Lonchura striata: one gene and its partners. The protein of the gene in region 3 binds, or shares a complex with, the protein of the main gene of each other region. Links are inferred from orthologs where the notes say so. Each region holds a gene or a part of one and is shown on either strand. Other genes may lie near its edges. The genes, in order: CWC22, PRPF3, SNRPF and GEMIN2.

The links.
Region 1: SNRPF (region 3) and CWC22 share a complex: the UniProt entries of both Homo sapiens proteins name them as parts of the minor spliceosome. The link is inferred for Lonchura striata from reciprocal best matches to the Homo sapiens genes SNRPF and CWC22.
Region 2: SNRPF (region 3) and PRPF3 share a complex: the UniProt entries of both Homo sapiens proteins name them as parts of the U4/U6-U5 tri-snRNP complex. The link is inferred for Lonchura striata from reciprocal best matches to the Homo sapiens genes SNRPF and PRPF3.
Region 4: SNRPF (region 3) and GEMIN2 share a complex: the UniProt entries of both Homo sapiens proteins name them as parts of the SMN-Sm complex. The link is inferred for Lonchura striata from reciprocal best matches to the Homo sapiens genes SNRPF and GEMIN2.

The regions. Positions count from the first base shown.
Region 1 is NC_134610.1:23,610,028-23,617,200, forward strand, and holds the start of CWC22 (pre-mRNA-splicing factor CWC22 homolog), read right to left. Parts: upstream 3,013-7,173; 5' UTR 2,943-3,012; intron 2,548-2,942; 5' UTR 2,463-2,547; coding exon 2,436-2,462; intron 1-2,435. UniProt on the Homo sapiens protein: Required for pre-mRNA splicing as component of the spliceosome. As a component of the minor spliceosome, involved in the splicing of U12-type introns in pre-mRNAs. Promotes exon-junction complex (EJC) assembly.
Region 2 is NC_134635.1:2,813,004-2,820,186, reverse strand, and holds the start of PRPF3 (U4/U6 small nuclear ribonucleoprotein Prp3), read right to left. Parts: upstream 3,014-7,183; 5' UTR 2,905-3,013; intron 1,224-2,904; 5' UTR 1,213-1,223; coding exon 1,068-1,212; intron 1-1,067. Other genes in the region: MRPS21 (small ribosomal subunit protein bS21m), read right to left, coding at 3,153-3,333, 4,931-5,013; CIART (circadian-associated transcriptional repressor), read right to left, coding at 5,822-6,086, 6,169-6,247, 6,330-6,405, 6,646-6,950. UniProt on the Homo sapiens protein: Plays a role in pre-mRNA splicing as component of the U4/U6-U5 tri-snRNP complex that is involved in spliceosome assembly, and as component of the precatalytic spliceosome (spliceosome B complex).
Region 3 is NC_134607.1:54,488,460-54,494,835, reverse strand, and holds SNRPF (small nuclear ribonucleoprotein F), read right to left. Parts: upstream 2,094-6,376; 5' UTR 1,966-2,093; coding exon 1,963-1,965; intron 1,798-1,962; coding exon 1,672-1,797; intron 1,273-1,671; coding exon 1,208-1,272; intron 633-1,207; coding exon 566-632; 3' UTR 515-565; downstream 1-514. UniProt on the Homo sapiens protein: Plays a role in pre-mRNA splicing as a core component of the spliceosomal U1, U2, U4 and U5 small nuclear ribonucleoproteins (snRNPs), the building blocks of the spliceosome.
Region 4 is NC_134608.1:23,823,852-23,830,940, forward strand, and holds the start of GEMIN2 (gem-associated protein 2), read right to left. Parts: upstream 3,017-7,089; 5' UTR 2,979-3,016; coding exon 2,857-2,978; intron 2,349-2,856; coding exon 2,264-2,348; intron 1,098-2,263; coding exon 1,008-1,097; intron 1-1,007. UniProt on the Homo sapiens protein: The SMN complex catalyzes the assembly of small nuclear ribonucleoproteins (snRNPs), the building blocks of the spliceosome, and thereby plays an important role in the splicing of cellular pre-mRNAs.

The DNA of each region.
Region 1 (7,173 bases), on a different chromosome or scaffold from region 3:
CACATGCCAAATGCTTCCACAGGTTCAAGGCATGGAATAAACACCAAAGAAAAATCCACAAGGGTTACTAAAAGACTTTATCTGGCTGAGGAAGCTGCAAACAGGTAGAGTGTGAGAGTATGCCGGCAAGTACTTTTATATATCCCTATTCCTAAACTCTCTAAGGCATCTGCTGTTAACTACTGCTGGAGACTAGAGTAGATGGACCACTGGTCTGCCTTTCCTGCTTCGTTTTTTCAGATGCCATTTTCATTTGTTGTATTACACGCAATACCATGAACAGAATTCCACCATTTCTTGTTTAAAGACTGTCTTTCCTCTCTCCTAAAAATTCCCTTTATTGAGTAATTTTTCCTTACATTCCCCCTTTTTACTAATCACAATTTATTTCCTCAAGAGTCATTCTTAGTTTCATACATTACAAACATCTGAGCTGCACTGATCTACTTGGCAGATTTGCAGAATTGTGTAAGTGATACACACTTAAACAGCTCACAACAAATTCCATGGGCTGAACCATGACATGAAGTATGGAGTAGAAAATCAGTACAAAAATCAGAAAGTGACAGCATCTACAGCAAACAGAAAGATATTCATTAACATGTTTCTAAACATTTGTAAACAGCAGCATTTGTAACCTGAGTACTTTCATTGGAAGGGTCACCTCTTTCTTTAAAATATTATTTATGATTTTTCAGAACCACAATCTCACAATGTCACAGAGTCATTATCTGTGAAACAGGGAACACCTCACATGATGCAGTAACTCAACAAAAGCATTTCCTTATGCACCTTGATGGAACTCCCTGTAGGAACACTCAGCTTGTTCGTTGAAGCAGCCTCCTCCCCACCAAAGAACCAATTAAAACTCTGGGTGACCAGAACATGACACCTCTTCCATAAAAAGCAGAGCAACTGCTATCTCCAAAAACTTAACTGGGAGGGTGTGTATATATGCAAAAAAAAAAATTGTTTTTTTGAGGCCACTATAACATATCCTGGAATATTGCCCTTCCAAGGGGGCAATTCAAATTGTTAAAATTACACCCAGAGTTCTGTTGCCTGCATAAAGGCCATGACACAAAACAAGGGCTTTGCACTGTCCACTGGCAGCATGCATCCCTATAGAAGTTATGTCCACCTGTGTCATTTTAGAGCCACATTACCTTCAACAGTGGACACAGTACAAAAAATTCACACATTCACCAAGGTTTTCTACCCCTTTGAATGGTCATTACAGCACACAGCAGATCACTGAATTCATTCAAGGGTAACAAGCGTCCTTGTTTCCTTTTCCCAACATAGTAATATATGCCAGTCTGAATCCTAAGCTTCCAAGAAAGCGGTAATAAAAATCTTTGAATACCACAAAATAGTTACTGTATTTAAATCCTATCTAGCAGATGGGAAGAAGGCAGTGGGTCTTTTTAAGGCTGATCCATTCCAATGGATTCTTTATCATGTGTCTCTGCCCAAGCAGAACCAAAGAGACAAATGTTCACAGAAATAAAACAATGTTATGGCTGTTTCTGTATTTGCCATTTATCACATCTCCTTGCAAAAGAAGCTATGCTTGCTGAAGAAATTGTCACCCTCAGCTCTTTGTGACCAGGTTTTCTGCCACAAGTTAGCCCTCTTCTTTATCCATTTTCATCAAAGTGATTAAGTGAAACTGTCCAAACAGTGTGCTTTTGCTAACTGGCTTGTTTTGACAGATGAGGGAGCGCTACCAGGTGGGGAGAACAGGAGAAGGTATTAAACTACCCCTCAAGCATCCCTACTAGAAGTCACTCAAGTCAGAAAAGATGGTCTAAAAGAGTGAAGAAGCCTATGCAGGTTCCAACTCTGGGCAAACAGGGAGAGTAATACCACAGATCTGAGTCAGGGCATCACAACAATATTGCTCTGTTAACATGTCTCAAAACTGGCATCCATTGCAAACAGCATTTCTAAACTTTTTCTTCTTGCATTCCCAAAAAAATCAACCCCATCCACTCAGAAGTGGGACACATAGCTATTAAAAGGAAAAGTTTTAACGTGCATAGTATGACATACAGTTGTCAAATTAACTGCAACTTATTGTTTCAATATCTTTTAAGATTGTTGTTAAATTTCTCAAAATCCTTCTCCACTCCTCTACATGCTTACACTTACTGTTGAGCCATCAGCATTCAGTCAGTTTTGACCAATTATTGTAACATTTTACACTAATAATATTCAGGACTTTAATTGCATGGACAACAGCAGCTAGTATATTACTAGTCAGTAATTTACTGACTCCTAGTAGTATTTATCTTGCAAACAACTTCTGTCTGTTACAGATATTACTTGCTTTGCACTCAGGAAGTTTTATTTAACATAATATCAACTACAAACCTAATTACCAGTGACATGGGAAGTATCAAATCTCACAATTTAGTTTTAAGAACACTTACATTTACTTGTGTCACCCTGCTCTTCATCTTGACTTCCTGCTTTTTACGAAGTTCTCAACGTGCAGCAACGAGGCAATCCAAGCTGGAGTTCAGCATATGAAAACCATTTCACCTGTAACACACGGAAGAAAATCAAAAGCTTTCGACTGCACAAGGTGCCGGAACACGCACCTTTATTTTGTCCTTTAAGGCTATGCTTACACAAGTCCTTAAACCCAAAGGCTCCCCCGGGTCTATTCCGATACGCTGCGGCCACACAGCGGCTGCACCGCCGCAGCCGGCCCCGAGCGAGCGAGCGGACAGGCCGCGGCCGGGGCTGCCGGGGCCCGGCCCACCGACCCCGAGCCCGGCTCCCGGCCCGGGCCCGTCCGCTCGCGGCGGGGGAGGCCGCGAACCCCGACCCGGAGCTCCCCCGGACCCCACGGGGATGGCGGGAAGGGACGGCCCGCCCAGCCCCGGCCCCGTTCCTGAACCCGGCCCCGTTCCTGAACCCGGCCCGGCCCGCACCTCCCGCCGCCGCCGCCGCGCGCGGCCCGCACACGTCACTTCCGGCAGCGCGAGGAGCGCGCGGCCGGCCCCACCCCAACATGGCGGCCGGAGGGCGGGGCCGCCTCAGTCGGAAAGGAGCGCGCTCGCCCTGCGTGCCAGACAAAAACTGCTGGGCTGGGCATCCTGGGGGAAAAGCCCTGCACGCACTGCAGTGCCGAGCGCTGCCGTGTTGGAACACCTGTATGCTGCAGGGTCTGTTTGGCCTCTGAAAGTTTGAAGTGATTCGGCGCCACGGATCCAGGCTAACAGAGAGCCTCTGGCTTATTGTAGGCACAAATGTGTTTGGATTTGGGAGAGTAATTAAATGCATAGAAACGGGATGAAAACAAAGGACAGTGCTACATAAGGTCTTGAAGTGCTTGTGGTTCGTTTCCATGCTGTGAAATGCAATGAGCTCCTCCGGGCCAGGGCGCCGCCGCACCTGTGGGACCCGCTGCTTCTCCAGGCGATGAACATGGAGCTTTCTCAGAGCTGGAAAATGCTACATTTCTTTCTTTTTGGAGGTTGTTAAGTCAACTTATCTATTCTATACAGAGCATTAGACTTCTTAATGTTTTGTCACATCATGTAATACGCCTGTAGCGCTATTTTCATTGTAACAGTTAGTACAGACTCAAATGCTCACTGTCCAAAAAAAACCAAAAAATCACAGCATAGTAAGGAGAGGATATGCATGATTGGACAGATCTGGTCAATGTGGTGCAGCAATTGAAGACTTAATCCCCAAGATTTAAATTATCTCGCTCTTCTGTCACTCAGAAGATCTCAGAAGAGTAAGAGAAAAGGAGCATCAGGCCATGACTGAGATTGTGCTATGTAGCACTTTAACTCAGAACCACTTTGGTTTAAACTAATCTACCAGTTCACGTTCCCCAGAATTTGAAGCATTCACAAAATGGGAGCAAACCTATTCTCCAACTTTTCCAAAGGCCATCAATGCCATTGTAACATTGTATATTGTCACAGAGACAAATATTCTGTGCTCAGGAGAGAATAGTTATTTTAAGTTACACATTCATAAAAGTCAACTTTCTCATTTATGTTGTAATACTAAGCAGAATAGTCAAGGCAGCAAAACACACCTTGCCAACATGGAAATGTTAAGAAACAACAATCAGAAAAAGTGAATTTTTTTTTCTGCTTATAACTTTTAGCTACAGGATTTGCTTTATTTGGCTTAATGATTTGCAAATGTGGCTCTTACACAGGAGACTGGAAACAGCATTTATTTGGACAGTTCTACACATTCTCACAATGTGAATTGTTAAATGCTTTCACACGCTATTCCCTGAACCCACTCCATGATTTCCCATTCTGTTGTGCAAGTAATCTTTTTCCTGCCTCACGCTGTGTAAACAGGTGTCACGAAATGAAAAGGCATATGGTGCCAGTGTGGCAGCAGCATCTCCTGAGGGGGACATCCTGTGGCTGGTGCCACACGTACCATCCCTCAGCCTGCCCCTCCAAATGCCCTGAGAAAGAGAGAGCATAGACAGCTGAGCTCTGCCTCAGAAGGAGCCTGAGGACAGAGATGGGAAATGTAAAGGTCTTTTTTGAGGTGCCTCCACCAGGAGACTACTGATAACCTCTGAAAAACATGTTTGTGATTTAAGATGGGCTGAATAACTGGGGTGACTTCAATTCTTCAGTTCTCTTCTTGGATGTGGAAAGCAGACAAGGGGCTGGGGCAATGGGATTCACTGAACAAGAGAAAGGGCATTAAGTGCTGAATAGCAGCAGTGAAGTGAGGTTTCCCTTTTCTCCTTTCATAAGTTAATGCTTTTACTATTGGATTATGCAGTGAAGCTCCCTTCTGCTCATTTCTTCCCTGCCCTGCTCATCTTACAGTCCTTTTTCTGCCATAGGTCACAGTTAGATTTTATTCCTCACCAGGTTAAAGAGAGAATTCTTAAATTTTACAGTGGGTCTAGTCCTGTGGTTTGGCAAAATGCTTTAAGAGATGCAAGTTTTAGTTCTGTGAGAGTGAAAAGACAAAGCTTGCACTTCCCAAGTGCTTTAAGGGGGTAGAATGCAGTGCAGGTTGAGTACCCCTGATCAGCCTTTTGGAATCTGCTGCACTCAAGATCCTAAATGTACAGAGTCTGAAGTAGAGACGTGACTGTGGGTTCCAGCTTCTAGAGAGTAAGAGGGATGCAGGTACATTCTCTTGCTTGGTGTGTCTTCCACAACTTCTTTCTCAGCATGTGGGACTCCTTACTTGCCTGGAAGGCACTCAGGTGAAGTAATCCAACTGAAGCAATCCTGATCACCCTGCAGCTGTGCAGCTACTCTGTGGGTGTAAGAGATGGTGAGGTTCTCTCATCTCTATCTCAGTCTGAAGTACATTACAGTTCGAATGGAGCATGATTTTGGAGTCTGGAAAAAAAATCCAAAGACAAAACCACACAAGAATTAACTCATGTTGAGTGGCTTTATGTGTATTTAGAACAGCAATAATCAACAAAGAATTCTTCACCTTAAGTAAGCATGATGATCAGGCTTTGAAATACAATAACACCCAATTCATACAAGTACCTAATGCTTCTGGAAAAACAGTGATAGCTGCTCCAATAGCTTATTCTGGTAACTGAGTCTTTGCAGTTAGTATTGCTTTATTAATTAATTTCAAAATGATGGATTGGACATTGGTTTCCTGCCTGCTTTATTAGGAGTAAGGAATTTATACACAGCTAATTCCCATCCAAGTTAATCAGTGTGACCTTTAGCATGCTGTAGAATTATAATCTTGTGCAAGGCTCAAAAATTGTTTCCAGATAGCTGCTGCAATGTGCCAGCTGCAGGATATTATTCCACACATCAGCTGAGATGAGAAATCTCATCCTCTGTGGTTTCAGTTTAAGGTCACATAAGTGAGGTGAGTCAGCAAAGGAGGCTGGAAACAACACAGCTGAACTTGTTCAGTAGCAGAGTGGATCAGGGACATGCAATCCCTACTCTACTGCTACTTTTTGTGTGGCAGGAGTTATTTCCAATGCAGAGTGTTAAGAAACAACATATAAGAGAGAAAGAAGAAAGCTCTTACATCACATAAACACCATTGTTTCAGAGGGATCCAATATCCGTGCTCTGCAGTCCCCTCACCATTACAGTTTAATAACTGCTGGAAGATCATGGGTTTACAATACTAAGAAATATCTCTTTTTGATACCTCAAATGTGTGACACTCATCACATTCCATCACAAAATTTGTTTTTCCCAAGAAAACACCAGCAGACTCCTGCAATGTGTTTTGAAACCTCATCAAAGTGAAGCTATCCCTCTGAGCTCAGTGGCAGGATGATCATATGTGGAACTTCCACACAGTTTCCTCTGTGTGAGAACACATCACATATGTTTGCTATTATTTTTAATGACAGTCTTTCAGCTGCTTCTCACAGTAATAAAAAAATCCACTCAGCTACTGTTTAAAGCACTTCCTGGTCTGTATCCTATAATCTGCCTTCTTTCAGTTTTGTGGCAATGCTCTTCTCCAACCAGCTTCTGGGACTGAAAACAATTCTTGTCCAGTCTAACCTTAAATTAATATACAGGGGAAGCAATTATTCAGAAAAGGAAAGCATAGTGAATGCAGATTGGCAAAAAAAAAAAAAAAAAAAATAAAGGTACATTTTTTGCAATGAGTTTTTGCTTGTTAATATAATTAATGTTTGTTTGTTTGAAGCCTTTCCTACAAAGTGGTATGGAGTGGAGCCAGACATAGTGCTGCAGACACAGGTCACTCTGGGCTGTGAACTGGTGTTTTCATGTCCTTAGTTTCACTTTGTCCTTACACACTGCAGAAGAATGTTGGTTCTTTTCCACAGTTTCAAGACTTCATCAAACCAAGGCATCATTCTACAGCCGGCACCCTGAATATCTGCCTAAAATTTCAGGGCTACACCATGAATTGAGCTATGTCATCATTTGGCAGCTTTAGATTATTTAGCAACTAAAATCCTTTTTTAGTAACTAAACCCCTTTCAATTTTGTTTTTACTCCTTTGTGCTGATTTTTTTTATCCTCTGTGAAGTATTTTTATATCTCCTGACCTTTAAGGAAAAAAATATCTCTGCTGTTCTGCAGAGCTAGGACAGTAGAACCCATGGTGGGGTCATGATGCTGAGTGCTAGAAGGTGTGTTTGTGCCTAGAAACCAGAGGACAGGCTAATGAATGCACTTTTCCTTCCTG
Region 2 (7,183 bases), on a different chromosome or scaffold from region 3:
AATCCACATGGAAGATGTAAAAACCACTTCAGTTTAAGTGATTCAAGTCTACAAGCACAGGGAGGCCTGGAAGCCTCTGGGATCTGTGTATTGTGCTGTCAGGAGCTTTAAACTAAGGGATTAAGGGGGTCCAGTCCATGCAGAAGCAAAGCAAGGCTGTAACGGGCAAAAAAAGCACACCAAAAAATTACCTTTTACAGTTCCTCAAATAAGGAATTAATTTTTCCTCATCAGATCTTTTAACACATCCCAAGGCCTCCAGCTGAGTCTGGGCTGAGGGATTTCCCCCTACTCACCTCGTGGAGGCTGAGAGAACTGCCCTGTGCCCCTGCACCTCCACCCTGGTGAGGTTTTGGGCTGTTTTACAAACCTGGCTGCGCACGTACCAGCCGCTTTCTAAAGCACACTAAAAAATTACCTTTTACAGTTCCTCGAATAAGGAATTAATTTTTCCTCATCAGATCTTTTAACACATCCCAAGGCCTCCAGTTGAGTCTGGTCTGAGGGATTTCCCCCTACTCACCTCGTGGAGGCTGAGAGAACTGCCCTGTGCCCCTGCACCTCCACCCTGGTGAGGTTTTGGGCTGTTTTACAAACCTGGCTGCAGACGTACCAGCCGCTTTCTAAAGCACACTAAAAAATTACCTTTTACAGTTCCTCGAATAAGGAATTAATTTTTCCTCATCAGATCTTTTAACACATCCCAAGGCCTCCAGCTGAGTCTGGGCTGAGGGATTTCCCCCTACTCACCTCGTGGAGGCTGAGAGAACTGCCCTGTGCCCCTGCCCCTCCACCCTGGCGAGGTTTTGGGCTGTTTTACAAACCTGGCTGCGGACGTACCAGCCGCTTTCTAAAGCACACTAAAAAATTACCTTTTACAGTTCCTCAAATAAGGAATTAATTTTTCCTCATCAGATCTTTTAACACATCCCAAGGCCTCCAGTTGAGTCTGGTCTGAGGGATTTCCCCCTACTCACCTCGTGGAGGCTGAGAGAACTGCCCTGTGCCCCTGCCCCTCCACCCTGGCGAGGTTTTGGGCTGTTTTACAGACCCGGCTGCGCACGTACCGGCCGCTTTCTTCTTGTCCATGCCCTTGCCCACGCAGTTGAGCGCGGCGGTGACCACGGTGGGCTCCGAGAAGCCCAGCACACGCTTCACCGTCTTCTCGATCCATGGCTTCAGCTCGTCCAGCTCGCGCTTGGACAGCGACATCTCTGCTCGGGCTGCGAGGAGACACAGCGCGTCAAACACGGGCCTGGGGTGTCCTCACCCTCAGGATCAGCTCCACGGCTGGGAAAAGCTCTCGTGGGCTCCCCTGCGGGCTAAAACGAGGCAAACCCCGTGAGGAGGGAGGTCCTGACCCCACACAGGGGACGCAGGACCTGCTGTGGATCCTAGAGGGACACACCAGAGTGCTTCCAAAACCAGACAGCAATGCGTGTTCTCAGGATAACCCTTCCCACCCTGGCTCCTCCCTGAGCTCCCCATGTCTCTCTGTGCTGCCAGCCCGGTGACAAAGCCTCTGAGCTCCCCAAATCCCTCCATGGGATGCTCCAGGGGTTGGGAAGAGAGATGCACTGCGAGTGGAACGCGTGGGACAGAACCCCCCTGCTCCCACTGAGCCCACGCCAGGGACACAAAACAATCTGAGCCTCTTCCCCAGCGTGCAGCCCCAGATCTGGGCAGCTCCCTGGCAGTCACAGCCCCTCACATCCTGCAGCACTCACAGCCTGGGCTGCAGCTGCAACTGCTTTTAACTGGCTCCGGGCCCTAATCGGATCTGGCAAAATCTCCTTAGGGCTGAGCCCCACCACGGCACCCAGGTGGGGCTGTGGGAACAGACACCTGGCACAGCTGTGCTTCCTGGAGCTGGGAATGGTGTTCAGTTATCCCTCCTGGAGCTGGGAATGGTGTTCAGTTATCCCTCCTGGAGCTGGGAATGGGGCCCTGGGGTTCAATGGGGTCCTGGGGTTCAGTTATCCTTCCTGGAGCTGGGAATGGTGTTCATTTATCCCTCCTGGAACTGGGAATGGTGTTCAGTTACCCTTCCTGGAGCTGGGAATGGGGCCCTGGGGTCATCCCTAACACAGATCCCCTGATTTCAGGTCCATGAGCAGTTCCAGGAGGTGACTGCTGCTTCCTGCAGGGCCCCAGGAGCTGGGGAATCTGCACTGTCCTACCAAGCAGTCCTCCACAGAGGACACGGCTCTGGTTTCCCTCCAGAGCCTGGGAACCTCCTCAGGCTCTACTTTTCCTGGCAGCTTCCTTAGAGACAGGTTCAAATAGAGCCCAAACCCGGATTCTGGCATTTCCCCACGACTTCTGAGCCTGCACAGGCTAAGGACAAGCAGAACTAACAAATTACGGCCCCGACACATCGACAGCTCTGAGCACACCCATAATAAACCACAAAACTCGTGTAATTAGAGGCGGTCCAGCTTCCCCCGACCTGAGCTCCAGCAGGAGCTGAGGGGAGGCAGCGGCTCCCCGGCTGTTTCCGTGCCACACCGGGCGGGCAGAGCCACCGCGGGGAGCAGCTCGTGGGGATGCAGCTCCCGGAACCCGCATCAGGATCAATGAACGAGTCCGAGCACCGCCCGACCGCGCCGGGGCTCCGCCGCCCGCTCCGGCCTCACACGGACGGACGGACGGAGCTCGGTCCCACCGCAGACACGCGGCTCCTGCCGACCCCGCTCCCGCGCAGCCCCGCAGGGCCCGGCGTGCCCCGCTGCCGCGGAGCTCCGCCCGGGGCCCGGCCCGGCCCCCTCAGCGCGGCGCGCCGGGCGAGCGGCTCCGCGCGGGCCGGGCCCGGGGCCACCTCCGCCACCGCCTGCCTCCCTCTCGGTAGCCCGCCCGCTTTCCCCGTTGCCTCCATGCCCTCCGGGGAGCCGCAGTGTTCCTCACCGGCCCCGTTCCCTCACGCCGGTCCCGGGCCCGGCCCGGCGGCCCCTGACGGTGACGGCGCGTCGGGGAGGAAGCGGAAACGGCCGCGCGGCGCCTGCGCGGCGGAGCGCGCGGGAGGGCGGGGCCGGGGCGCGCGCGAACCCGGCAAGGGGCGTGGCCACGCTCAGCCCCGCCCCCGCCCCCTCAGACCGTCATTAACCAAACTCAATTAACGGGAACCAAGGCTCTTTATTGGGGCCGGCCGCTCCTCAGCAGCCCGGCCACGGGTCCTGGCGGGCGCTCCGCGCCAGGAAGGCGATCCTGCGCGCCATCTCGGCGCAGTACACCCGCCGGCACGCCTCGAACGCCCGCCGCCGCCGCGCCCGGCTCGGCTTCTCGTAGTAGCGGGAGCGCCGCACCGCCTCGGCCACGCCGTCCTGCGCCAGGATCCTGCGGGAGGGGAGAGAGCCGTGACAGCGGCGGGGAAGGCTCTGCCGAGCAGAGAGGAACGGGCACGGCTCGGTTCGTGCGGACCCTCGGTCCCCGTGCGGACCCTGTGCACGGCTCGGCCCGTGCGGACCCTGGGCTCGGCTCGGTCCCCGTGCGGACCCTGTGCACGACTCGGTCCGTGCGGACCCTCGGTCCCGGTGCGGACCCTGTGCACGGCTCGGTCCCCGTGCGGACCCTCGGTCCCGGTGCGGACCCTGTGCACGGCTCGGTCCCCGTGCGGACCCTCGGTCCCCATGCGGACCCTGTGCACGGCTCGGTCCCGGTGTGGACCCTGGGCTCGGCTCAGTCCCCGTGCGGACCCTGTGCACGGCTCGGTCCGTGCGGACCCTCGGTCCCGGTGCGGACCCTGGGTTCGGCTCGGTCCCGGTGCGGACCCTGGGTTCGGCTCGGTCCCCATGCGGACCCTGTGCACGGCTCGGTCCCGGTGTGGACCCTGGGCTCGGCTCGGTCCCGGTGTGGACTCTGGGCTCGGCTCAGTCCCGGTGTGGACCCTGGGCCCGGCTCGGTCCCCGTGCGGACCCTCGGTCCCCGTGCGGACCCTGGCTCGGCTCGGTCTCCGTGCGGACCCTGTGCACGGCTCGGTCCCGGTGCGGACCCTGTGCACGGCTCGGTCCCGGTGTGGACCCTGGGCCCGGCTCGGTCCCCGTGCGGACCCTCGGTCCCGGTGCGGACCCTGTGCACGGCTCGGTCCCGGTGCGGACCCTGTGCACGGCTCGGTCCCGGTGTGGACCCTGGGCCCGGCTCGGTCCCCGTGCGGACCCTCGGTCCCGGTGCGGACCCTGTGCACGGCTCGGTCCCCGTGCGGACCCTCGGTCCCGGTGCGGACCCTGTGCACGGCTCGGTCCGTGCAGACCCTCGGTCCCGGTGCGGACCCTCGGTCTCCGTGCGGACCCTGTGCACGGCTCGGTCTCCGTGCGGACCCTCGGTCCCGGTGCGGACCCTGTGCACGGCTCGGTCCGTGCGGACCCTCGGTCCCGGTGCGGACCCTCGGTCTCCGTGCGGACCCTGTGCACGGCTCGGTCTCCGTGCGGACCCTGTGCACGGCTCGGTCCCGGTGTGGACCCTGGGCCCGGCTCGGTCCCCGTGCGGACCCTCGGTCCCGGTGCGGACCCTGTGCACGGCTCGGTCCCGGTGCGGACCCTCGGTCTCGGTGCGGACCCTCGGTCCCCGTGCGGACCCTGGCTCGGCTCGGTCTCCGTGCGGACCCTGTGCACGGCTCGGTCCCGGTGCGGACCCTCGGCTCGGTCTCCTCGCCGTCCACCCGCGAGGAGGGGAAGGAACCCCCCGAGCTCCGTTTAAGGCGGCTCCAACGAAGGTGTGTGAGCGCAGAGCTCCCCGAGAAGCAGCGCTCAGCTCTTCCTCGATTTCACGCTGCTTACAGCCCATCCGAGGGGGCGGTGGGACGTGGAGCTCATGGGAAAAGCCCCGCACCACCCTCCCGTCACCTTCTGCTCCAGAAATTCTGGCTCTGAACCCAGCACGGGAAGGAATCGGAGCCCCTCGGGGCCCAAACCCCGCCGTTCCCCCCGATCCTCACCTGTTCAGGACGCCGTACGCCGCCTCCACGTTTCCGTTCTGCACCATCACCGTGCGGCCCACGAAGCGCAGGTGGTTCGCCATGGCCGCGCTGCTGCGGGACGGAGCGGCTGGGACCGGGCAGCCCCGGCGCCCGCAGGAGCCCGTCCCTCCTCCCCCCGCCCCGGGACACGGCAGGGAACCCCGGGTACGGAGAGGGGCCGGTCCCTCCCGCCCTCTCCCGGGGACACGGAGGGCTCGGTTCCCCCCGCAGAGCCCCAAGGGACCCGCCGCCCCGCGAACGGTGCCGTGCCCCGGTCGGGTCCCGGTGCCGCTGCTCTCCCCAGCTGACCCCGGTGAAGCTCCGCAGCCCCGTGACTGATGGAGGAGCTTCCGTCGGGAGGGACTTCCGCTACCGCCGGGACTTCCGGCGGGGAGAGCCCCGGTACCGGCGGAACCCGTGCCGCTCCCGGGGCTGTCCCGCCCGCAGCCGGGCCGGGGGACAGCGGGGCACCGGGGGCGGCTGTGAGCCCGCCGGGACGGGAGCGCACCCCCCGCCCTGCCCAGGCACAGAGGACACGACAGCGGCTGGCCCCGGCCGCTCCCGCGGCGTTTATTGCTCCAGCAGCGCCCGCCCCGCTCGGGGCTCCGCACCCACCGCTCGGGGGGAAGGCACCAGCCCGGGAGAGCCCGGTCCCCGCGGGGACGGGGCTCCGCTCCGGCCAAGGCACGCGGCCGCCCCGCGGTTGGGGCTTCTGGGGTGGGGAGGGGGGTCGGGACCCCTCCCCCGGTCAGTCCCGCCCGCCCGCGGGTCTCACTGACCACCCGTAAAAAAAAAAAAAAAAAAAAATCAAAAAAGGCAAAACCAAGAAATGCAGACGAGATCTTCCCCCCCCCCGAGCCGGGGGGGGCGTCACACGTCCGGCGCTGGGGGCGACTCGGGGGTCCCGGCTTGGCACCGGGGGGACCCCCGCTGCTGTAATGTCCCCGCGGGGCTGGCGAGGGGGAGGTCCCCGGGCAGGCGGCGGCACCGGGGAGCCCCGGGGGGACCGGCGGGGGGCCGGCGGCGCGGGGGAGCCGTGGAGGGGGTCGAGTCCAGCGTGGGTTTGGGGGCGACGTGGGGGAACCAGAGGCGCAGCATCGCCTCCACCTGCAGCAGCGTCCCCAGGTAGCGGGCACTGCGGGGAGAGAGCTCTGTCACCCTCTGCGGAGGAGGTGTCCCCGTGCCCGCCCCCCCCGGGGATAGCTGGGGACCCTCACCCCATTTCTGGCTTCTGCAGGACCCCAATGATCCGCTGGAGCCGGTCCATGGCCACGCTCTGCTGGAAGCTGCTCAGCCCTGGGGAGTCCCGAAATTGGGTGAATTTTCCCCAGAGGGAAAGGGATGCTTTGAGGAGGAGGAGGGTGTGGGGGGCACCCACCTCTGTCATACCGGCCCCGCCGCAGCCCCTCCAGCAGCTCGGCCAGCGGCCGGATGAAGCCCCGGAGCTCCCGGCACTGCGAGGAAGAGGAGGAAGAGGAGGAGGTGACTGGGCTGCACCCAGACTGGAGAGGGGGTCTGGTGCACCCCCTCACACCCCACTTACCTCCCTCTCACCCCCCGAATCCTGCTCATCCCCACCCGCCCGTTTCAGTGGGGAAACTGAGGCAGACCCAGGGGTTTTTTGAGGGGACACCAAGCCCTCCCTCACCTCCCATCTTTGGGGGTGCCCCTTCGTTTTCTGCCAAAAAACTCACCTTTTGGGCAAAGAGGCGATCGCCATCGCTGGGAGGGACATCCCCCCCTTCTCCTTTCCGCGGGCGCTTCCCCCCGCGGGGTGAGGGCGGCGATTCGGGGGGTGCTCGGTCCAGCCCCGCCGGGCGCTTGCGGCTGCGCTCGGGTCTGGGGGGGCTCCGGGGGGAGCTGCCGGCCTCGGCCTCGCTGTCGGAGGCAGGGGAGCCGCAGGAGCAGGTGCGGGCGGGGGGCTCCATGGCGGGGGTGGCCCCCGCAGGGGAGCCTCTCCCTGCGTTCAGCTCCAGCAGGGTCAAACAGCCGAGGCTGTCTGGGGGAGGAGGGAGGGAAACACCGGGGGGGATATCGGACAAAAATGGAAGACAACGAACTGCCTCGTTCTCCCGTGGGGATGTCATCCCCACAGCCCCGGAGCTGCCTCACATGCCCCGGGGGGGCACATTTGGCATCTCCTCAGACAGGATGGGAGACCAGGGACCCACCTGGGACCTTTCACCCGGGACCACCCCCAGCCCCAGGACACGCCCCTCTCCCCCCCCAGTT
Region 3 (6,376 bases):
AACCCCATTAATGCCACTGAAGTCTGTGGATCCCTGCAGCTGCCAGGAGGCTTTTGGCTGTGTGGCTGTTGGCTGCTAAGTAGATATACATTTGTCCTTTCTTAATGACCATACAGCCACACTTCAAGCTTCCTGACTCAAAGCAGGAGAATATTTCTGAGGGAAACTGGGGTATAACAGATCGCCACACCTCACTTGCAGTGAAATCTTCCCAGCTAATTCTAAATGTTTTATAAACATGTTTAAAGATGAAACGTATTTAAATAGTCATGACATACATACTGTAAAGTATAGATACTGCCAAGTCTTCCTGTATTTCAGATGGGAAGATAACTTTTAAGGTATTTTTAAAGTCCTTGCTTTTCATTTCAATATTTCCAACTTTCAATTGAACCAATTACCTATTGTTCCTCCAGCATTAGTTTTTCAGACACCAATAAAATATTAACATTTTTTAAAGAGTTAATTTTCCCCATACTAAAACACAACAGAAATAAACATCTTACTACAGAAGTATGAAAAACAAAAAAGAAAAGAAAGGTTTATTTTCAGAAATACAAAACACCTATTCTCTCATTTCTCCATCTTCTTCCTCTTCTTCCACACCTCTGATGTACAAAACATTATTGCACCTGTAAATAGAACAAAGAGTTTCCTTAGCTATAAACATTATCATTTTCCCCACATAAAACAAGCTTTAAACATTTTTCTGCTTGAATGTAGCCTGGCAACAGCCAAATTCTACAGAACAAAAAGCTGCTGTTGTCCTTGTACACCTTTTTCACACAGTACATCAAACTGTGCAACTTCATGAATGTAATAAATGTTTGACAATGCTGTACAAAAAATTTTTTACTTTAGGGTGAACAGTTACAGTCAAGTTTAACTTCCAAGCATGCAAAGTGTTTCCAGCTACAGTGCATTAGTTTACAATGCCAAAGGATTCCCAAATATATAATACTGTGGAAAACAAAAGTATTTTGTTACCACAAAGGAGACAGTAAATACTTATCTAGATATTGCAAAAATCATTTTTCCTCCTCTCAGAAGGGACTTTGATATAGAAGTCACATTCATAGCCTTCCTATAAGAGCTACACTTGGCATCTTAATTAGACAAGAAACACAACATCCACCAGTATAAGCTTTAATGCAAGTGGTGAGGCAATTTAGAGCCTTCCTCCACCATAAATAAATATCCCAATTACCTTATCAAAACTTCACCCAGGTGTCCAGACAACGCACCGTCTATGTACTCCTCTGTGTTTGCAAGCTTGAAAGGAAAATGAGGAAAAAATCAGAAAGACAGCAATAAAAGCGGCTCCGCAAAGCACACGACGGCTCTGCCCCAGCCCAGGGCTCGGCCCCAGCTCCCGGGGGTGGCCGAGCGGCCCCGGTCCCGCTCTGCACCGCGTCCCCACCGCCCCCGGCCCGGCACGCAGCGCCTGCGGCGGGGAAGGTCCTTCCTTAGGCATCACCTCCTTGAGAGCCCCGTCAGGGCAGAGACACCTCCCACTGCCCCAGGCTGCCCAGAGCACACCTCCCACTGCCCCAGGCTGCCCAGAGCCCCATCCAGCCTGGCCTTGCACGCTCCCAGGGATGCGGCACCCACCATTTCTTCCTCCACAACGCCGGGGGCCGGCACCGCCCCGGCACGCCCCCGGCCCCTCACCTGCATGTTCATGTAGCCGTCCACGGAGACGAGGTAGCCCTTGTACTCCATCCCCCACTTCAGCTTCACCATCACCGGTTTCCCCGTCAGCCCGTTCAGGAACGGCTTGGGGTTGAGGGGCAGGCTCTGGCGGGGGAAGCACACGGTCAGCGCCGCCCGCCTCCCGCTCCGCCTCGCCCGGCCGCCTGGGGCCCGTAACGGAGCGGCTCCCGCCCCTCAGCGCCCGGCTCCCGCCCCTCCCGGCTCCCGGCCCGCCCGGCCCGGCTCCCGCCGCTCCCGGCTGCCGCTCACCATGGCGGGAGAAGCGCGGGCCCGGCGGGACCGCTCGTGCGCGCCGCGGGACAAGGGGCGGCGCTGGGAACGGCTCCGCTTCCCGTTCCGGGGGCGCCGCTCTCACCCCCGGCCTCCCACCGCGCCGCGCTCCCATAGGCTGCCGGGCCCCGACGCGCCGAGCCTCAGGCGCGGCCGCCCATTGGCTCGCCGGTGCCGCGGGCCTGTCTCATTGGCTGCCACTTCCCCCTCCCACCCCCCGTGCTAACCAATCGCTGTTGCCGCCAGTCGCGCCGCGGTGGCGCGGCCGTGCGCGGCGCGGGGGGTGAGCTCGCGCCCCGTGCGCGTCCCCGCGCGCTGTGCCCGTGCGCGTGCCCGCGGTGCCCCGCGCGGTCCCGTCCCGTGAGGCGGCGGCGCGCGGCCGCGCCCATCCGTCCGCGAAAAGAAACCCGCGGAGTGGTTCCACACGCAAGGATAGGAAATCTCAGAGGTCAGCGGGCACATTAAGTGCGAATTCCCCGTCAGTGGCTTTTTACCCCCAGGCAAAGATGTTCTTGGGTGTAGAGAGAGTCGCGACACATCAGTGCTGACTTATGTCTTAACCTTTGACAGGCAAGTGTGCTGCACCAACGCCTGTACCGTTTACCGATTGGTCACATCCTCACTAATGTCTTCTACTGCCCGGTGGATAAATTCATCACATGCCACAATGTGCATTTCTGTTCTGCATGCAGCATGTCCCCTTGATCTTCAGTGTATTATTGGGTGCTGAATGTGGGAAACACCATTCAGGAAACTTAACCTTTCAGTAACAGAGCTATTGTGGGTTGTGTGCACTTCACCTTCCAGAAGTGACTCTAGTGCCCTGGTATTGAAAGCAAAACCATTCTTGCCTCCTCAAATCTGCATATTTAAAGCTGTTGATGCAAAAAGCCATCTTCTCCAGGTCCAGACTGTCCTTACACACCGTGAACGTGTAGGAGTGAAACGGATGCAATTGTAGTTCCTGTTCACTAGCATATATCACAAGTGCAGTTACAGAATCAGAATTGTTAGGGCTGGAAGGGACCTCTGAAGACCATCCAGTCAACCCTCCTGCCAAAGCAGGGTCACCTGCAGCAGCTGACATAGGAACATGTCCAAGTGGGTTTGGAATTTCTCCAGAAAGGGAAACTCTGCAACCTCCCTGGGCAGCATCTTCCAGTGCTCTGCCACTTCCAACGTGAAGAAATTCTTCCTCATGTTGAGATGAAACTTCTTGTGACTATATCTAGATGCACATTTGCACAACCATTAGAAATAAGTGTGATTTTATTTTAGGGTGTAGTGGATGGACAGCAGAAACAAGACCAAAATATGCTAATTTTCTTTCTGGTAGCAGGGCTCATTATGGTCCAGCTGAAAGAATAACTAACTTACTTATAAGATTTTTTTGTAAGGAAGTCTGTGTTTAGACTATGAAGCAAAAATATGAACACAATGGGAAATGGTATATATAAAAATTTTTTCATGCTATTTGCAGTACAGAATAGCTGATTTCACATGATGCCGTGTTGCAGAATTCAATGAGCTTAGACCAAGTGTCTTGAATAAAATCATACTGTAAGAGCAATTTTTGCACTGTTCTGACAAGGATAAACATGTATGCCTGTGAATGGCAATATAAAAGGTTTGGTATGTTATCTGTAAATAGCACTAGTTATTTTTACATATGAAACCAATTTTGACCACAATGTCTCCTATTCATGTTGGGAAAACTTTTTGTGTACCAAGAAATAGGAGCATTTAGATTTCTCTTTAAATACACACTGCTAATCAGGTGAGTAAATATTCCAGCCCTGTTGTTACAAAAAACAAGCATTTCCCAGGGTCATTCGTCTCAGTGTAGAAGTCAAAGACAGAGAGTGCTTGACTACTACTTTCACAATTGGTCCATGAGTTCACACATCAGTAATTCATCAGCTGGAGACTGGGTCTGCGGCAATTTTGGGCAGGGGTAGGGTAAAAAGGAGTACTGAAAGCACAGAATGCATTACTACATCTGGTGTAGTTAACTAAGTCTGTTAATCAGGAAACAAAATAGCTGATGTTTTTCTTTGGCCCTTGTGAGGAATTTGCTGTTTACCTTGTTGACTGAATCATTCTGACTCAGTCTTCTAACGCTGATCTTTGGACCTTCAGCACAGGGGTGAAGTTCACCTTTTGTCCTCTTTGTATTTCCCTTGTAATAGGGGAAGTAATAATTTGCATTCTTTTCTGCCTCTGGTCAGGGTATTTAGGCTGTTGCTCAACAGGAAATGAACAGGAAAGAGTTGTTGTAATAGATTAATCCAAGCCTGAGCTCCTGGGTGGATGGATAGGATTTTCTCTTACAGCTCAGGAGGGGGAATTTAGCACAAATGCCTACACTCTGTTCCTAAGGAAACACATCAAGCAGCTGGACATTCAAGGGCAGCAGCATTTCTGGTGGAGAGGTGGTTACATGGCGTTGTCTGTGTTGGTGCAATTGCTCCCTGACATCACTAATGCACTGTGTTGCTGTAAAATCAGGCTGAGAGGGCCCATGTACCATCACACTGCTGAGAGAAACCTCAGCAGCCCAGAACTCCTTTCTGATTCAGCTGAGTTTGCTGGAGAAGAACTCCCTGCAGTGACCTGTTTCTGTCTGCCATAAACACATTATTAAGGAAACTTTCAGAGCTGCCTCATGTTCCAATTTCTAGTGTGAACATTTAGTGACCATCCCATGCCTTTTCCTAGTGATATGCCAGTGTCAGTGGGGGTTTCCTCCACTGTATTCTTATTCCACATCAGGTGAACTACTTCCGATACCACGCAATCATGTCCACCAGAGCAATAAGAGCTTCAGCTTTGCCATCACCATGTCATGAGCACCAGCTGCAGTCAAAGAACTTAAAGCAGCCATGAAAGTGCAGCCCTGAATTGCAGGTGGGCAGAGCGGAGTTAACAAAATGGAAACTCCATCAGAAGTGCTGAAGACAGCACCTTCAAAGGACAGGTTTTCATTAAAAAGGATACAGTGTGGCAGCATGGAATTAGCCCTGCTATGTGGTGTAGGAACTTCTGCCTCTGTTGGGTTCATTACTGACAAAGCTGTGTAAAAACCTGTTCTCTCCACATACAACCTGTCCCAGGTAAAGACATACCACCTTCCTTCCTCCCTCTTGCCATACTCCCAGGCCAAGTCTGGTCCTTGAACTGTTAGGTGAAGTGATACCTCAGTCCAAGGTTGGCAGTGGTTAAGTAGGCTTGTGCAAAGCAGTAGCCAATTCCTGACGAGCTCTCTGTTCTAACTTCTTGGGGATGCAGTGGTTATGACTCTTGTGCACCTAGGAGGATTTTGAAGCTCTGCGCACCCTTGGGGAATTTAGCTGTTGTAGCAATACTGTTAAAATATGAAGAGGACCTAAGACTCAGGCCGAGCCTTGACATGAAGAACATCTATTTTTCCTTCAGGAATAGACAAAATGGAAGATTTTCCATTAGATATCCTACTGGAATGAAAAATCAGATCTTGCCCACAGTTTGTCTGTAGAGACTATCTTGTCTAAAAAACCTTTTTCAATAAGTAACACAAGATTTTCTCTATGTACAGAAAATCTGTATAATTTATCAGCTCTTGGTGACTTGGGAACTGCTGTAGCAGTATTCTGTGAACTGCCAACAGCCCTCATGTGAGGTATAGTCCTGACTTTATGGGGCTTTGCCACAGTAAAATAGTTTTGCTTCAAGTAGTATTTTTTCAGAAATGTCTTCCAGTAAAACACCTTTCCTCTCTGCTGATTGTCATTTTAATTACACCATCTTTGATCAAATCTCCATGTGAGGCCATAACCATCCACCACAGACCTTCACCACCGATTGTGACTGGGAGTCGGGAGATAGTGAATTCAGACTTAAGAAGAACAGGGGGCTGTAAATTCTCTCTGAGATTCTCATCAACAGAAGCAAAGCCACACTGTTCCACAAGTGTGGATATACAGTGAATCCAAGGGTGGATCCAAGTAATAGGAGGCACAAAACTGGTTAGCCTGTTTCAGGCTTCATCCAAGCAACATGCCTTTTTTCACATGCTGACAGACTTTCATGTCAGTGTAAGACTGTAGCTCAGAACATATGCTCAGTCTTGCTGAACAACACTTGGAAACAGCCAAAGAGAAGAACACAGGGGAGCCACAAAAACCAGGTGATTTTCCATTGGCCCTGAATGCCTGGCAGTGGCTAGCAACAGTAATGTGAGGGAACACAAACAAAATGCAAAAGTCTGTTTGGGATGGACTTTCCCAGTAAGCAGGAGACCACGCTGTGAACAGCTCCCAGGGCAGGAGGTAGAGGTGAGCCTGGGAAGATAGAAATGAAGGGTTTCTTCTTGGGTAGAGGATTTATATGCAGTTTCAGATCAGTACAATGTCTT
Region 4 (7,089 bases), on a different chromosome or scaffold from region 3:
GCTCATGCAGAGTTCAGTGCTAGAGCAGCTCCTAGCTGGTCACACCTCAGTACTTGAGGGACTCTACAATGCAGTATCAATGCACTGTAAACATGCTGTCTGCAGCAGTGGAATCACAAATTACCTCCACCTATATTTTTATTATATTTTCAATTCATCCTGCTTGAACTGTGCATAGAGAATAATAGAATCATAGATTTGGGCTGGAAGGGGCCTTCACAGGCCATCTAGTCCAGCCCCTCTCCCATGGGCAGGCACATCTTCAACTAGCTCAGGCTCAGAACCCCATCCAACCTGACCTTTAGTGGTTTTGAGGGATGGGGCATCCACCCCTCTCTGGGCAACCTGTGCCAGTGTTTCACCACCTTCACTGTAAAAAAAATTCTTCCTTATAGCTAATTGAAATCAATCCTCCTTTAGTTTAAAACTTTAGCAAAGCTTAGCTGAACTTAGAACCTTTACCCTTTGAGACTGCTTATTTTCTGTTCTTGTGTTATTTCAAGCAGGGTGCAAATGTATCAGGAAAGATGAAAGTCTGTGCTAATTCTACAACCTTACAAATATGTTTTACCAAATCAGTATGTCTCCTCATAATGGGTTGCCACCTCTGTCAACAGGTTTCTAAATGCACTTTATGAATCTCCTGATGGGTTAGAATCCACTTTGTTCTTAGTTAATATTAAGTTCTGCAGAACATTTCCTGCTAGCACTATGTTTTAATATAACTGCATAACATCATAGGGGTTTTTGTCCTTCCTCAACCATGCCTTTTAATTTAATCAAAATACAGAGAATTTCTTAAACTTGACTCTCAAGAGTTTCATCAGAGGTTTAAAAGCCACACAGTATATGCTCAATTAGCTTTCAAGAACTTAAAACACTTGCCTATAAACTTCTATCCTGCAACAAAATCGCAACACTTCTCTACTAGATGTAAAGTTATCCCCTATAAAGCACAGATATGTTCTATCTAGACCATGCAAGACCCCTCACAGACTATCTTGTACCTGACGAACAGCTGAGAAATTGGCCACTTGCTGCTGCTGCCACTTGAGCGTTGGAGAGTATCCTTCAGGAGCAGGCTGACATCCAGAAATCTGAGAAAACACTGGTAATAATTATAATGTAAAGAGATCTGCATAAGAAGAATCCTTAAGGACAAGAGAATCAGTAAATGTTTACTATCAGGTCAACAATATCCTTGAACTCTCCATCTAAGAAAGGTAATTTCATGACCACATCCAAGGCTGAGTTAAGATTTTGGCTTAGACAAATTTGACACTTCTCATATGTACATAAGAAGGAAAACTAAGTGTTCAAAATACATTGTCAAATAATTACTTAAGGTCTTCCTTTCAGCAATTGTTCTGCTTTAATCTCCCTGCTCATAAAAAAATGGATGCAGCTTCCTTATCTGGGACAGATACTATCAATCTTAGGCAGTCTTCCTGTGAAGATAGTAGTTGAGGAAGACAGAAGACCATAAAACCATCTAGAAAATTAAATTTGATAGTTAAGTAGATATAACTGCTTTAAAGATTAGCATGAAAGGGTTATTAAACAAAATCTTTCTACAAGTGCTTAAGAATGTCACTACAAACAGATGAGACAGATGAAGAGAATGGCTACAGAAGTTACAAAGTCATATCAGTATTAGAAACTTTCTTTGAGAAATCTAGTAGGGCAATCTCAGATTACATCGTTGTCGTTGGAGAAAGGCAAACTATTTGAAAACAGATTAAAAACCAAGCTGGCAGGGCAATGCAACAACAGAAAAATCTGCTTCAACAGTAAGGAGAAGTTCCAATAAAATATTCCTTCCAAAAGGAAAGTGGTACTAGAATTTAATGTAACTTTAGTAAAGCTTAGCTGCACTTACTACCCTTATGCTAAATATAGACTTAAACCCAAAGACAGGTATGGATATGTTTTTCTTCTAAAATTTATGCAGGTTTAAATTTATGCAGGATTAAATAATTGTAAGATTTAATGCAACATTTGATTTCCTTACACAGTAAAATAGTCAGCTGTGTATCAAATAGTATGGGGATTATCAATTTAATAATTTAGAAATACTGCTGTTACCCAGCAGGTGAGCAGGGGTTTCTTCAAACACAGACATTTAATTCTGTAGATGCTTTTAGAATCTAGCAGTGCTATTCAGTTATGCCAATGACTCCCCCAAAGTAATACAAACATCATTATAGGAACATCTCTCCCGGTTTCCCCCCTACTCAAAACGTGCAAAAGCTCTCAAACTTACTGAAATGTTTACTGTCGGCTTCTTCTTCAATTTTCTGGGATCTATTTGCGCCACAACAACGTCAGGACATCGCGCTGCTTCAATCCTACAAAACAGAATCAAGTGGGCTGCATTTTTTTCTTTCATGTGACAGGTCGGTATATACCGGATGTCTTTGAAATACTCATAAAAATCATGGAGGGACCAATCAATATCATTGAGTCCAACTCCGTGCACACGACAGCCCAGAAATCACACCCTGTGCCCGACGGCGCTGTCCAAATGTTTCCCGAACTCTGTCATGAGCTGTTCAGTGCTCAGCCACCCTCTGGGTGAAAAACCTTTTCCTGATAGCCAGCCCAAACCTCCCTTGACACGGCTTCATGTCGTTTCCTGGAATCGTGTCGCCGGTCACGACAAGGAAGAGATCGGTGCCCGCCCGTTTTAAAGCAGGTGTTTAAACACCGGTGTGAAAGCACCGGCTGTGCCGGCGAGGGCAGCACGGCGCGGCCGCCCTGGCGCGCCCGAAGCCCGGCCCGGGCAGCACCGGCTGCCCCGCCACACTCGCGGAGAGGCGACGGGCCCGGGCCCGGCCCCACCGCCCCGCCACTCACTGGACGCGCTTCAGATACTCCTGGGGCGTCCTGGGAGGCACGGTGGGATCGAAGTCCTCGGCCAGGTCGCAGTCGCCCACGGGCAGCAGCCGCGGCATCAGCTCCTCCAGGCCCGGCTCCATGGCCCCGCGCGGCTCTCGCGAGAGCGGCGCTGCCGCGCGGCGCGCGCCTCGGCCCGGCGCCGCTGGGCGCGCCCCGCGCCCGGCGTCGTGGTTGTCCGGGCGGTTGTCCTCCCGCCGGGGAGCACAACAAGCATGGCCGAAGAGCAGCGGCAGAAGAGGGGTTGCCAATCCACTGCCCATCAAACTACGCCTATTTTTGTGGTGAAGAGGCGTAAACCTTTAATAGCTTCCTTCATTAGCCGCTGTGACATTATTCTAATATGCTGTAGTTTTTGCCAAAAATTCTTTAAAGCTCACCCGTTAGTACGCTCTTATTTTACTTGTGAAAACCCAGTATTCGTAATATTTGTCCCTTTCTTGAAATGCTTTGAGATCTGTGGTTAAAGTCAGTTATATAGAAGTTAATGATTTTAAATTTACAGAGTTCCCATTCTGGAAGGATCAATGCCTGAGCTGTTGCTGTATGAATTTTTCTGAAGACTACAATGTGAAAGCATCCACATGTCAGAAAGCAAGGTAGCATCTGTGTTATAAGTTGAGGCGAATAATTTGATTCAGCCTTTTAAGATCAATTAATAATTTTATTAATTACAGCAAGCGATAGCAAGCAAAACAGCGCTGGGTTCAGCTGGGAGCCTGGCTCCGCCAAAAGCTGACAACCTTTCCTTCTCTTCAGTCCCTTTTTATCTTGCATGAGTGGGGGTGATGAGTCTCGTTCCACCGTGGTTATCAGTCCCAAAAACAATGGATTTTACAAGTGGGGTGGTGTGTCTTCTTCCACTTCGGTTTATCAGTTTTCAGCAACAATGGGTTTCCACTGCGGTTATCAGTTCCAGCCAGTCCTGCAAAATCTTTCACAATCTTTGTGGTTACCAGTCAAGCCTGCAAATTCCATGTCCCGACTTCCCCCCCTTTTATCCTAATTTCATACTTTTGATGAACAAACAAGTCAATGCAGTTTCTCACATCTGCACAAAGGGGCATTGTTTCCCAGGTGAGACAAAAAGTGAAAGGGTGATGCTGTAATCATTTACATTGTGTATTATGAAATTCCTGTTACACAAATGTCCATCAGTATATTATCTCTTCAATTAGTTCTGCAGTGTTAGATTTAATATTTCAGAGTAGTTTGAGATACTTCTGACATAAGTTAAAAAAAAAAAAACAACGTTTTCTTTTTAACCCCCTGCAAGCCTGTATTTCAGTAGTTCTAAATAAACATCTGCCTTAACTCCTCCTCTCCAATGGCTTTTGTTTGTTTTAAATTGTTTCCAAAAGCACCTACGTGTACCAGGGAGATTTTTTTTCCTGAAACCCGGATCTAACGTCTTAGTTGAGTATGCAACAATTGCAGTCACCACTAGAAATAAAACTTGCCTACTTAAACCTACAGTGATAACTCTGGAAAGGCTGATGATCAAGACAAAAACTTTGGTGAGTCCAGCTATATAAAGTTCTTTTATAATACTTTAGTAATATTCAGAACTTATTTTTCCTATTTGTTGTAAAGTCCAGAACTACGAACTTCATAGAATCAAGCGAATCCACAGATATACGCTTCAAATATACTTCCTATCTTTAGATCACTTTTTATTCAACTTTCCATTGATACTTGTTAAGCAAAGCAACATATTTTTAATTATTGCAGATAGTATTTCTTACCAACAATGCTGATGCAATGGCTAGCAAATATGACTCAGTGGAGAAAGAGGAAAATGAAATTGGAAATGTATATATTTCTTCTCACCTGCTTAGGCATTAAGGAAGAGTGCCTTCCCCAAGAAAGGTTGCATTAATGGATATGCCTCATTGGCTAAAAAACCAAACCAAAACAAAGTAACATATAAATTCTGCATTATGAAAAATTAAAATGTTTTCAAATCTACATTCTAGATATGAATATGGAGAGCTAGCAAAATATTTTCTTATAATGAATAAATGAGTTTATATCTATTTTCTACTTTTCTTTCTCCTTGATTTTCTCTGTGGTTAGCAGCGTCATAACAGCTGCATGACTTTAAGTTTAGAGCATTGGACTGAGTTATTATGTAATGAAATTTAATTGTACTGAAGATTAATTTAAAATACTGAATATATTTTATTTGTAGTAAACTTTCAGAGTAGTATACTTTGCTGTTTTCCCTTCTTGCCCTTTGAGTGTCTTTAAATGTCAGATGCCTCTTTTTCTCTTATTTATAGAGTTCATCCTGCATTTTAGACTTCAGGACTTGCCTCTTTTTTGGGGAATTTTCTGAAAATGTTTCACAAGTTATTTGAATACTTTTGAAATTACAACACTGAGTAATTTGCTGTGCATCTGTTTGAAGTGTGGTAGGGTTTGGGGGTTGGTCTGTTTTTTTCTTTTTTTCTTTTGAGTTCAGGGTGAGGATGTTACATGTCATTGGCAAGCTCTTGCTTAATACTCCCACAAATGGCAGTGAGATTTGTGAACAAGAAAATTAAAAATCCCTCCCATAAATTCTGCTGTTGCTTAACTGTTCATGTTTTTAGTCTGAAGAGGACTGGTAAACCATACTGGAGAGAGCAATGGCAAAGAAATTCTATCATAATCACATCTGACATATAAAAAAAGAGGGTAAAGTTGTTTTAGTAATTTGTATTTGCTTGATGGTCACAGAATATTTTCCGAGTTGCAATGAAGGAGGCAGGATATGGTAGCCAGTCAGCAGAATGTTTTCCAGTCCTCCCCCATGTCTGGATTAATTGCACTACGACATCTCAGGAAAGACAGAAGTTATTGTTCTGGCCTTTCATGACAGCCTTGTGAAAAACAATTCCTAAAACTGAAGAGTTATCTGTTAACTTCAGTTTGTGGATAAAAAAGCTGACCACACTAACAAGATAAAGGATTGTTTCAGGTTTAAACCCCCAGGAATATAACTTCATTTTGTTTTTTCCCCAGGCACTCAGAAGAAACATCTAAACAATCTTCCAGATTAAGAAGTTGCCATAAGTAGTCATGGTGGAAGATGGGAATAAGCCCGGCTGTTTCGATCCCGGAGTTCGTGCCGGACGGAGCAGCCCCGCACAGAGCAGCGCAGCCACCGGCGGGGCCGCCGGCAGCCCCGGGGCCGCGGCACTGCCGCAGGGAGAGACGGCCAAACTGCCCCCGCTGATCGGGATGCACACGACCGACCTTCAGAAGACAGCCGAACAGGGTGGCCAACACACACACGCGAGCAGGAGCTGCCAAGGCGGCGGAGCCACGGTCGGAGCCGCGGGGCGGCTGACGCCGGCCGCGCTGCCCGGGCCGGGCAGGCCGGGGCGGCCGGCGGGCTGTGCCGGGGGCGGGCGGGCGGCGGAGCTCAGCCCGCCCCCGCTCTCTGCCCTTGACGTGGCGCGGACTCTCCCATCAGCCATGTTGGTGCGTCGGCGGCGCCGGGGCGGCTGCGGGCGGGCGGGCGGGGACAGCGAGCGCAGCGGGAGCGGCGGCCGGGACGCGGGTGAGCGCGCAGCGCGGCGCTGAGGGGGAGCCCGGCCCGGCGGAGCTGGGGTGCAGGGAGGGGAGAGGGGCAGCCCCTCCTCTCCCCGCGCTGGGAGGCACGGGCACCCGGCCCGCGGGGCCCCGCACGGCTGTGGGACCCGAAGGGAGCGTGGTGGGAGCTCCCCGCGCCTCCTCCGTGGCGCTGGGGGATCTCCGGGTGCCAGAATTGCTGTCGGGGCCCCCGGCGGCCTGAGAGTCCGGGGCTGCCGCCGGGCGCTGGTCAGCAGTGCCCGCGGCCTCCCGGGCCGGGCGAGCAGCCCCAGCAGCCCCAGCTCGGCCGGGGGCCGGCGGGCAGGGCCTTGAACGGCCGGGGTGAAGGGCAGCGCTCCCCGGCAGCGCCGGGGTGCTCCTGTCCCGGAGCTCCGCTGTAGCTGTGCCGCTGTGCCACTGACGAGGGTGCCTTCCAGTGTAGGTAAAACGAGAAATGCAGGCCCTGCTGCGTTTGATTATGCATTGCTTTTTTTTAAATTTAGGTACCGTAGTTGTTTAAAGTTTTCAGTGAGAGATCTGGGAGGGCAGATTTGGAGGAGGACTGCGTTTGAGTGGTGAAAATGTTAGCAAATTGCTTTAGATAACTATTTAAACTATTGTGCTCATGTATTTTAG